3 linked regions of the Xenopus tropicalis genome follow. The protein of the gene in region 3 interacts with the protein of the main gene of each other region in a biochemical or structural test. Links are inferred from orthologs where the notes say so. Each region holds a gene or a part of one and is shown on either strand. Other genes may lie near its edges.

Region 1 (4,212 bases), on a different chromosome or scaffold from region 3:
CATTTTTTTGTCTGGATTCTGCATTATATATTGCTCAGATCTAAATATGTAATTCATTTTTCCAGAAAATCTTTTGGAGGATTGAGCAGTATGGTGTCTTAGTGGTTAGTACTGATTGTAGTGCTAGGGGTCCTCAGTTCAAATCAAGACAGGGCGCTATCTGCAAGGAGTTGTATGTTCTCCCTGTGTCTACAGGATCAGACTAAGCCGGTGGGACACTGAGAAAAAAACCCGGTGGGCCCCACTGACCCAGACCCCATCACCACCGGGAAGCATCATATCTCCCCTGCTGCTCTCCCTCCCCAGATTGAGCCTAGGTAAATATGAGATATATGCGCTGGGGAGGGGTGGATGGCAGTGGTCGGGTGTCAAGGGCCCCTAAGGGTGTTAGGGGGCCCCAGTGGGCCCCACACACCCCAGTTCCACCCTGTGTGCAGTGTCGGTCGAGATCCGATCCCCCCAGGGTGCTCCCATGATTCGCCATCTCCCTCCCCCGACCCGACGCAGGTAAGTTTCTTTTAGGAGAGCTCGGGGGTGGGGGTCGGAGGGTGTTGGGGGCCTCTGCGGGGGGGGGGGGGCAGTGAAGGCGGCAGGGGCCATTTGGGGGTGCAGGGTCTCCTGAGGCAGAAGTCCCGGTGGGCCCTGCACCCCCTAGTCTGACCCTGCCTGTGTGTTTTTGTGGGTATCTTTATAAATACAGGCCGGTAATTTATCAGTAGGGGCCTCAGATTGTAATCTTCACTGGGGCAGTGAGTGATGTATAATCTCTGTAAAAGCTCTGTATAAATAAATGATACTAAAGATTAGGATTTGGAGCATCCCCAATTCTTAGAACAAATATCTGAAAGCATTTTTATCACAAAGCATTTGTTGGTTTCCGCAGCCACACTCCATTATTTGTTACAGTACAAAACACAAGCTTTCAAAAGCGACGCAGGGTATGCTGGGATTTGTAGTCCAACAGACAGGTAGGACCAATAACAACGCTAAAGTATATTCTGTACATAGTGTTTTTATGCAGCGGAATGAGCAGTCTGATAGAAGAATGAAGAAGAATGGAAGTGGTTTATAAATAAATGTACTTTCACACTTCAGCCAGCGCTGAGCAGGGAGAGATTACAGGGAGGGGATGCAGAGCAAGCGGTGGTTGGAGGGCGCTATTAGCGGCGCTGCGGGTAGGGGGCGCCAGAGCGGCACATTCCTGTGCATCCCGCACTTCCCCGTTACAAGGTGCCTGCCCCTCTCACTGTTGGCTGTGCCGCTCGGTCTGCGCTTATTCTCTCATCTAACGGACTCGGAGGATGCGGTCTCCAGCCTGTGCGATCTTTCTCGGCTACTTTGCGGCGCTTTGCTGTAAGTTTCTGGGATCTTTACTGAACTCCGCTGCTTTGGGCGCTTTCTGTCGGCACTTTGTGCTCTGTGTGTGTCGGGGGGTTGTGAAATCCGGGCTGGGAGCCTTTGTCCTGCCTGCCTGCCCGCCTGCCCGCCTGCCCACAGGGACCCTCACTCCCATACTTTCTGCATCCCCCCTCATGGGCTACATGTTTCCCTGCTCTGCCTGCATGCCGGGGATTGGCTGCTGCTACTGCCAAATTCTCTATTAGGCTATTAGTGCCGGTCTGACTTAGAATATTATATACTGCTGGCTCCATGATCCGCTATTACATCATTATTGCTCTGTGTGACTTTATTTATTATATTTCTGCCCCCAGGATTCTGTATGACATCATTAGTGTTCTGTGTGACTTAATTTATTATATTTATGACTTTGGGATTCTGTATGACATCATTTCTGCTCTATGTGACTTAATGTATTATATTTCTGACTTCAGGATTCTGTATGACATCATTAGTGTTCTTTGTGACTGAATTTATTATATTTCTGACTTCAGGATTCTGTGTGACATCTTTAGTGCTCTGTGTGACTTTATTATAATTCTGCCCCCAGGATTCTGTATGACATCATTAGTGCTCTGTGTGACTTTATTTATTATATTTCTGACTTAGGGATTCTGTGTGACATCATTTCTGCTCTGTGTGACTTAATGTGTTATATTTATGACTTCAAGATTCTGTATGACATCATTAGTGTTCTGTGTGACTTAATTTATTATATTTCTGACTTCATGATTCTGTATGACATCATTAGTGTTCTGTGTGACTTAATTTATTATATTTCTGACTTCATGATTCTGTATGACATCATTAGTGTTCTGTGTGACTGAATTTATTATATTTATGACTTCAGGATTCTGTGTGACATCATTAGTGCTCTGTGTGACTTTATTGTATTTTTGACTTCAGGATTCTGTATGACATCATCAGAGCCCTGTCTAACCTAGAATATTATTTTGCCAACTTTTATAAGAAGCCTGGCACATTTTAACCATATTAAGTCCACCAGCCTACTCCCAGCATGCACAGTGGTTATTAAATATGGGCATCAACTTAAAATGGACTTGATATTCTGGTACAGACTGTTCATACTTTTTCAAGATTCCAGTATTTACTCTTAGGGTGAAGACACAGAGCTACTAGTAGCAGCTACAGAAATAGACAATGCTGACTATGTATTGATAATTGAGGCATATCTCAGTATTGTCTATGGCAGGGTATTTTCTGGCATTTAGTAGCCGTGAAATGTTGCTGCTACTAAGTAGCTCTGTGTGCCTTCACCCTTAGAGTTTAAATGAGCAGTGGCACAAAGGGTGGACTGCATTACCTGTGCAATGTAGCGGAGCATTGATAAGGGCGTAGATATGTTCTTACCTTTGGGGGAACCTTGGGTATTGTATTTGCAGCATGTGCTTCCCTGTGTGACTGGGGTATATACAGGTATCGGACCCCTTATCCGGAAACCCATTATCCAGAAAGTTCCGAATTACGTAAAGGCCATCTCCCATAGACTTCATTTTAATCAAATAATTCACATTTTCAAAAGTGATTTCCTTTAATAATTTATCTGTAATAATAAAACAGTACCTTGTACTTGATCCCAACTATATATATATATATATATATATATATATATATATATATAGATATAATTAATCCTTATTGGAGGCAAAACAATCCTATGGGGTTTATTCAATATTTAAATGATTTTTAGCAGACTTAAGCAGTGGAGATCCAAATTACGGAAAGACCCCTTATCCGGAAAACCCAGGTCCCGAGCATTATGTATAATGGGTCCCACACCTGTACTTAGTGCCAGTTTGGACTGTGACCCAAAGGGAAGTCTTTTTGGACACAAGTGGTTTATGCCAAACTGATTTACAGCAAATGGCTTTAAAGGGAGCTATCCGTTGTTATACTGCTGTTTAGGTTTATTTTATCCTAATATTTTAGGGGGGTAACAAGTGTATCTGCCATACCCAGCGGGGGCTCTCAGGCTCCAATCATTTTTCCAGGATGGTAGTTCAGCCACCTGGGGGATACAGTTCTGCAACAGCTGGGGGGCCAACAGGTTAGATATGAGTCTGGGTTACACCCTGCATGCCTCTGTATCCCTGCAAATAAACTGGATTATTTGATGGTAAAAATAAAGGAGATGGTTAGCAGATCACATGGTTTAAATGACTTTGCTGTTTCCAGCCATTAGGGAAATAGATGCACGTGTGCGACGGGGAGATTAGGGGACGCGCTGCTGCTGCTGCTGCTAAATCCACTCTCGGAAAGTTTCTTTGCTAGTGACCCGTTTCTCTCTCTCACACATCTATATTCAGGTTGCTCTGAGTGACCTATTTCTCAGTTACATATATGTACAGGTTGCTCAGCTCTCACACACGTGTGTACAGGCTGCCTGTGTCTCATTCACATGTATGGGCAGATTGCGAGTGGCCGGCGTCACATTCACATACATGTGCAGATTGTGCAAGATAGAATGTGCATCTTGCTCCATTTTTAGCATTTTTAAACTGTCTTTCCATTGCTCCTGCAATTTTTAGCAACTTTGCAATATACATCAATGAAAAATATGCAGCCTTTTTATGATTTTTAATGTAATAATATGGTTTGGAACAGTTCCCTAAGCCCCGCCCCCTGTTCCCCTGCTGATCTGGCTGACTACTTTTCAGTCTCAAAAAAAATGTAACAGTAGTCGCCTGTCCTCAGCCTGCCTTCAGCCTGCATCCTCCCAATCCCACAATTCCCTGCACACGTGATATCAATAAGGAAAGGAAAATCACAGTGCAATGTATTTTGGGTTATGTA
Region 2 (3,654 bases), on a different chromosome or scaffold from region 3:
GCTGTAAACCTATTTGTAGAATACATTGTAGAATTAACAGAACTAGGAAAATACCCCTTTTCCATTTTTAAAATTCTAGAAATGGATACAACATTAACCAATGATGCAAAGAAAACATGTTGGCTGCTGACTATTCAATACTATTCAAAACTGTGACAGGGGGTCAGTTCACCTTTTTACAGGGAGAGTCGAAAACAGGGAATTATTTGCAAAAAGATGCATTCATTTTTTTTCAAGAAAAACACATTCATTCCCTTACATTTGAGCCTATTGACATGATCTTAAAGACATTCTGGACATTAAAGGGATATTGCACCTGGAATTAAAAAACAATGCACTGGGAAGGCCTGTTAAATGGTGCACTCTCTCTTTATGATTGGCATTAGCAGGTACTTTTACTTTGTGTAAGTTTGAATTGCACAGAATCGGAAAAGTTCTAGTGCTTTGATTAGTAAGTGGATCAAGGCTCTTTTGCACTGTGTAGTATCATCACACCCAAAGTATATACATAAGATACTATGGGGCCGATTCACTAAAGGTCGATAAAACGAGTGCTATTTATAACATGCGTTAAAAATTTTATCGCGTCTTATTTTTTGCGACTTAATACACGATTCACTAAAAGGACAGGCGTCATAATTAAGACGCGATGTTCTTTGCATTATTTAACTCGCGATGAGTTTTCTTGCGTTATTTTCTGCCTCGTGCATTATTTCCCACTGTGTGCGATATATTTTGCCGCGTGCGATATTAGCGTATGATTTTATGCATGTAACCATTACTTTTGGAAAATTGCTTTTCTGAAAATTACCATTTGCCTGAAAACTGGAGGATGCATCACTCTAGGGCCAACACATACCTGAAAAAATCCCACTGCAAAGTCCATGTTGTGTTGCCAAAAGCTCACGAACCACAATTCTTTAAGTACTGCCTGCCCCAAGTAGGTGTTAATTTTCGCACAGACTAATGCGATATTTAGCGTATTTAAGCTTCATATGTGTTTGTGAATAATGCGTTAGTATTATATCTATTCTAGAATTAACGCAATGCGAGGTAAATAACGCATTGCGCTAATTTAGTGCGTTTTTTTGTGCATGCGATATGCGTCTTAGCGCATGCTAAATGACTTTGATGAATCAGTACTTATTTATCACATGCTTTTTAACGCAAAAAAGCATGCGATAAGCGTTATCGCACTTTAGTAAATCGGCCCCTATTTTAAACCTAATAGAAGTTGGATGTGTCATAGATGGTGAACCTTGTGCATAGTATGTAAATGGCTCATCTACTGAAAGCATTGGACTGAGCTACATTTAAGTCTTCCAAAAACATTCTGATTTGAAGCTTGGCTGTATATGTTATGTCACCCTTGCTTCTCATGATAATGTTGCACTGTGCTCCATTCTTTTCAGCCTTTCATAGTTTTCCTTAGTTTACTGTTTATAAGATGCCATGGGATTTCCTCTATCAGTGTAATAATATGATATATTAATCTGCCAATTTTTAGTTTCAAGTTTTTTTCTTAATAAACGCCATGGCCTTTTACATTTCAGTGAAGCCAGTAATTCCGCAATGTAGAGTGCCTAAAGCTGTCCCAGTGGGCAAATCTGCTGTACTTCATTGTCAAGAGAATGAGGGTTACCCAAGTTCTGTGTATCGCTGGTACCGCAACAGTGAAGCTCTACCTGATGACTCAAAATCAACTTTGAAATTCCAGAACTCATCCTTTACACTTGACCCTAAATCAGGTACTCTGGTAAGTATCTAGTATAGTTTGTAATTGTCAGATCTTTTTTTTTTTTATTAGAACCACACTAAAATTAAAGGACTTAACCCCTATAAATATCCAATCACATAATCATCAAAAAATCTAAATAGTCAGTATTTATTCATTAAAATACCTATCCCATAAAATCAAACACAGGGAGTTTGCAATAAGTGAAAAATTTAACAACTAACAGTGCTCTTCCTCCGGGACAAACCACTTTTTCACTTATTGCAAAGTCCCTGTGTGTGCGGCCTTTATATATAAATATAATATATATATATATACACACAAATAAATTCAAATAAAACTAGAAAGGGAAGTTTGAGAACAAACTTCATGTTGGGTTGAAAAATGTGAAGTCACTGAATGAAATCTGATTGTTTGTTGACTCCGCCCACTTTTTCTAACCTTGGGCCACAGTTACATAGTAAGAACCACTGTGAAAAGTTTGGGGACCCTGGTTTTAATAGTGTCTGAATGGCAGCAATTTAAATTTCCCCACTGAAAGTCAACAAGTGAAATCTGATTTGTGGTTGGTAGCTGCAAAGTTTAGGGACCCTAGGATTAATAGTTAAAGAACGGCGGCAGTTTAAATTTAAACCAGTAAAAGTCAATAGGTAAATTGTGGTTGGTGGGTGTGCCCACTTTTTGTAACCTTGAGTTGAAGTCACCCTGTGACAAACAGTGGGCACCCTGGCATAAATAGTGTGAGAATGACAGCATTTTAAATTTAAACCAATAAAAGGATGAAATCTGATTGGCTGTTAGTGGCCCAACCCACTTTTCCTGGTCCCCCAGTGACCAGCTTTGCAAAAAACACTGCATAAAAATTGTGAGACTGACAGCATTTTACACTTCACCATTGAAAGTAAATAGGTGAAATGCGATTGGCTGTTGGTGGCTCCGCCCACTTTTTTCTAACTTTGAATGGCAAATACCCAGTGACTAACTCTGAAAAGTTTAACAACCCTGGAATTAATACTTAAATAATGGCATCAGTTTAAAGTTTAAATATAAACCAATGAAATTTAATGGGTGGAAATGGATTGGCTCTGCCCACTTGTTTTAACCCTGAATATGTAGTCAGCCTGTCACTGATTGTGTAACATTTGGGAACCCTGACATAAATAGTGTGAGAAAGGCAGCATTTTAAATTTAACCAAAAAAAAAAACCAATAGGTCTAGTCTGATTGGCTGTTGGCTCCACCCACTTTTTTAAACCTAAAAATGCAGTCCCCTAGTGACCTGGTGTTAATACTGTGAGAATGTCAGCAAGTTGAATTTCCTCTTTGAAAATCAATAGTTAAAATCTGATTAATCCCCATTAAAAGTCAATAGGTCAAATTTGATTCACTGTTTGTGGCTCCGCCCACTTTTTCTAACCTTTAACCGCAGTTACCTGGTGCCTAACTCTGCAAAGTTTGGGGACCCCGGTGTTATTACTGTGAGAATGGCAGCAGGTTGGATTTCCTCCAAGTCAATAGGTAAAATCTGATTGGCTGTTCACAGCTCTGCCCACTTTTGGGCATCCAACAATCATCATATTTTCATTCAGGCTGACCCCATGACTATGTGATTCAAGTTTGGGGAGTGTAGCCTTAAAGCTGTAAGATTGGCAACAGTTTCAATTTCCCCATGAAAGTCAATGGATGAAATTTTATTGGCTGTTGTTGGCCCTTCCCACTTTGGGGTCATCCAACAAAGTCGCTGTTTCATTCGGGGTGACCCCATGATTATGTTATTCAAGTTTAGGGAGTGAATCTTCAAAGCTGTAAGTGTGGCAGCAGTTTGAAAGTCTTCCCTGTCAAAGTCAATGGGAAAATTGGGGTGTTTGGGGGGCGGGATCGCTTAGAAAAGCACAAGCAACCTGCTCCGCTATAGGGCGA
Region 3 (3,654 bases):
CATTAAATAAACCCAATAGGACTGTTCTGCCCCCAATAAGGGGTAATTATATCTTAGTTGGGATCAAGTACAGGTACTGTTTTATTATTACAGAGAAAAGGGAATCATTTAACTATTAAATAAACCCAATAGGGCTGTTCTGCCCCCAATAAGGGGTAATTATATCTTAGTTGGGATCAAGTACAGGTACTGTTTTATTATTACAGAGAAAAGGGAATCATTTAACCATTAAATAAACCCAATAGGACTGTTCTGCCCCAATAAGGGGTAATTATATCTTAGTTGGGATCAAGTACAGGTACTGTTTTATTATTACAGAGAAAAGGGAATCATTTAACCATTAAATAAACCCAATAGGGCTGTTCTGCCCCCAATAAGGGGTAATTATATCTTAGTTGGGATCAAGTACAGGTACTGTTTTATTATTACAGAGAAAAAGGAAATTATTTTTATAAATTAGAATTATTTGCTTATAATGGAGTCTATGGGAGATGGCCTTTCTGTAATTCGTAACTTTCTGGATAACGGGTTTCCGGCTAAGGGATCCTATACCTGTATCTACATTATGATATATATGATATAGACTTATACATGTAATACAGTAACAGGTGCAGTGTTTGCTCCTGTTATGGTAACCCTAAGCAACCAAACAGCAGGACCAATTACAGTTCTGCTGTTTGAAAGTTAACCAATGATTGGTTGCTATGGGTTACAATGCATGTTTTATGACATTGCTTCCTGCGCCACAGGTCCAATTCATTACCGGGTTTAATACAATAAATCAGTATGATGCATGACCCCCAAGATGAAGCACCTGTGACCACAGATGGACTCAGAACCCCCAGTATGAGCCGTGCTTGTCTAGACGACACTGCTTCTTGTTTACAGATTGCCATGATCCTTTGGGGAGTTAGCAATTTAGCTTAGCCTGCTCAGGGAAAGTGCTGAAAGATAAAGAAAATGGTTCTGTTTTTATTGCAAATTCATTGCTACAATCCACTAACAGCAGGGGTAAGTTTTGAGGTTGTTTTTACAGCCCAGCATGATAATCTAATACATTCCCGCGTTCTGCTTTTATACCGTGTGTTGTGTGACTGGATTTTATATCCATCCTCACTCCTTTCTCTCAACAAGATATTCCCTGTGCACAGGCAGAAATATACACTAGTAAATCCTGTAGTGCTCATGTACCCAGAACGTTAAGCACATCTCATTTATCATGTACTTTTCGTAAATATTTATAAAGCTGTTGGCCAATAATTCATTTAGAGTGCAAACTGCCAGTGTAAAACTGACATTTATGGCATTACCTGTATCGTAAAAATACAACATGAAAGGCTCTAGGTTTAATATTGCCAGTTAGCCAGCCTGTCATAAAGTCCAGCACGCTTGCCTTGGATCATACATAGGGCAAGATTAGATCTATCTATACTCTGGGACAAGCTCCTATAAACATAGATGTACATTTACTTAGGGCCCATTTTTCCCCTATCAAATCTTTGTGATGCCCAATCACTAGACCAACGACCATCCGAGTATCAGGTAAAACTTCTCATTTTATTGGAACTTGATTAAAACCTTATTGGGAATTGTTATAAGGTTATGGAATCATCACATGTATTTAAACGCATGCTGAACAATGCCACTTGGACCCCATGTATGTGCCGGGGGTTACCCGCTGGCTATAGTCTTCTTCCCATTTGATCTGTAGACCCTGCATGCTCGACTGGATTAAACACACCGTACCCCAACTGTGCAGTCAGACTTTATAGACAAAATCTCATAAAAGCTAGACTTTGTCAGATTCCTAAACACTGCAACTTAAGATCAATATTTATTTATTAAAACCCACAAATCAAATCCCCCCCAGGTTAGAATCCAGGAGGTTTCAACAGATGCTAACAGTGAGTTTGCGGCACAGACAATCTTAAAAGTCCTCTTATTGCTCCTTCTTTTGTACTAAAATAAAGTATGCAAATAAAACAACTGTCAGGTTGGCTTTATGCACTCAGGATAGCATTTATTAAATGCTCCTCTAATGTAAAACCACTCGCAGCACTAACGGCTTCCCCTGCGATGAATGAATAACACATGTTAATATGCAGGGGAAGAGGCCCGGGGGACACCCTGGCAAACGTGTTAGGTCTTAGACACCTTACAGTCTCTTGCCCTGGGGGAAAACATATTGGTTAAATGTGGCCATAGCATTTTATAGTCCGACATAATAGGGTTTCGTAGCGCACTACAGAGCTCTTAAACTCTGGCGTTTTCTCATGCGAGTTATTAAGCACAATAAACAGCCCTATCATAGGTTGAATGCACTCGACTCATTTATGGCTTGTATGAAATACAAATTCCTACCTTCATGCACACCCATAGGCTATTAGCTGACCTCAGGTCTTACAGATGGAAACAAATGGGAATAACAGTCCCTATCTTTGAATAGGATTCATCTGTTTTTCTTTAGCTTGCCTCTACCCCCTTCCTTTTTAAAATTTCCCCTTTGCATCTTTCTAATGGAAACAATAAAAGCTTAGTTTGTAATAACCTTCTGTCGTATGAAGGTGGTACTGTCTTAGTTTGCAGCCTTAGTTGGCATTGTGTCACTGGCTGTCTTGCTTCCATAGCCCTCCTGTTCTATAATCTTTCACAAAGCCGAGTGACCTAGAGGGGATATGGAAATGGCATCATAAGGTCACAGGGAAATAAGTTTTCCTTGTAGAAAGATCAATAGCTGATTGTCTGAACAAAGAGAAGGTAGCAATCACAGTCAGCTGTTGGCAGGTGTTGGCTACATGCCATATTGCATGCCGTCTTGCCACGCAAGCGTCTCTTTAAGCAGAAGTTGCCAGTAGTATCATTAATAAAGTCACATTTACGATGAGTGCCATAGGCGGTACAAGTATGGCCACTGGATAGTCTCTTGTTCTGTGTGGCCAGCTCAGCAAGTGGGTTCTCAGTTAAGTTCTCAGAATGGACTTATCTCATTTAGCACAATACTGGGATTTTCTGTTGCTGTAGATAGTAGAATTATGTGTAAGGATCCATAACTATCTGTTTTGTCCAGTCAGTTCTATTTTAGTGCATTTGCCAATCTGTATTCCCTGTTTTGTTGTTCTAGAGCACAGAATATGTTCCGCCAAGCCATGCGCTCACCCATAATCTGGTTCCACGTGGTCCCAGCGGCAAACAAAGAACCATATGAACAGTTATCTCAGAGCGAGAACAACAGCTACTACTCCAGTCAGCACGTGCATGATTCCCAGTACATGGACTCCAGGAGTTTCTCTAGCCCCGGCCCTGATCACACTGCGCAGAGAATGCCCAGGCAGAGCAGCCAGGCCGATCCAATGGACTCTTACTCTCATCTACCTCAAAGTATCAATTCAGCAGGAAAACCACCCACTGGCCTGACCACATCCCCGCAGCGTGCAGTCAGCCCCCCCACCAACAGCGCTTACGGTACCAAAAAGGGAAAGAAGTTTTACATTCAGCTGAAGAAAGGTAAGTAGTGCAACAATAGCCATAGCTTGAAGGCTTGAATGTTTTATTACAGGTAGGAAACCATAAATGCCTCTGTTGGGCACCATCTATAGAGAGAATGTAAGTGGGGATGAGGGTTTAAAGATAAAATAGGCACCCCATTTTAACATG

Evidence for each region.
Region 1: the proteins of pard3 (region 3) and jam2 form a complex in vitro, tested with the Homo sapiens proteins (2 studies listed by BioGRID and IntAct, with this or other methods). The link is inferred for Xenopus tropicalis from reciprocal best matches to the Homo sapiens genes PARD3 and JAM2.
Region 2: the proteins of pard3 (region 3) and jam3 form a complex in vitro, tested with the Homo sapiens proteins (2 studies listed by BioGRID and IntAct, with this or other methods). The link is inferred for Xenopus tropicalis from reciprocal best matches to the Homo sapiens genes PARD3 and JAM3.

The regions. Positions count from the first base shown.
Region 1 is NC_030678.2:18,672,582-18,676,793, reverse strand, and holds the start of jam2 (junctional adhesion molecule B), read left to right. Parts: upstream 1-1,278; 5' UTR 1,279-1,301; coding exon 1,302-1,353; intron 1,354-4,212. UniProt on the Homo sapiens protein: Junctional adhesion protein that mediates heterotypic cell-cell interactions with its cognate receptor JAM3 to regulate different cellular processes. Plays a role in homing and mobilization of hematopoietic stem and progenitor cells within the bone marrow.
Region 2 is NC_030683.2:67,503,825-67,507,478, reverse strand, and holds part of jam3 (junctional adhesion molecule C), read left to right. Parts: intron 1-1,553; coding exon 1,554-1,756; intron 1,757-3,654. UniProt on the Homo sapiens protein: Junctional adhesion protein that mediates heterotypic cell-cell interactions with its cognate receptor JAM2 to regulate different cellular processes. Plays a role in homing and mobilization of hematopoietic stem and progenitor cells within the bone marrow.
Region 3 is NC_030682.2:21,860,343-21,863,996, forward strand, and holds part of pard3 (partitioning defective 3 homolog), read left to right. Parts: intron 1-3,121; coding exon 3,122-3,504; intron 3,505-3,654. UniProt on the Homo sapiens protein: Adapter protein involved in asymmetrical cell division and cell polarization processes. Seems to play a central role in the formation of epithelial tight junctions. Targets the phosphatase PTEN to cell junctions.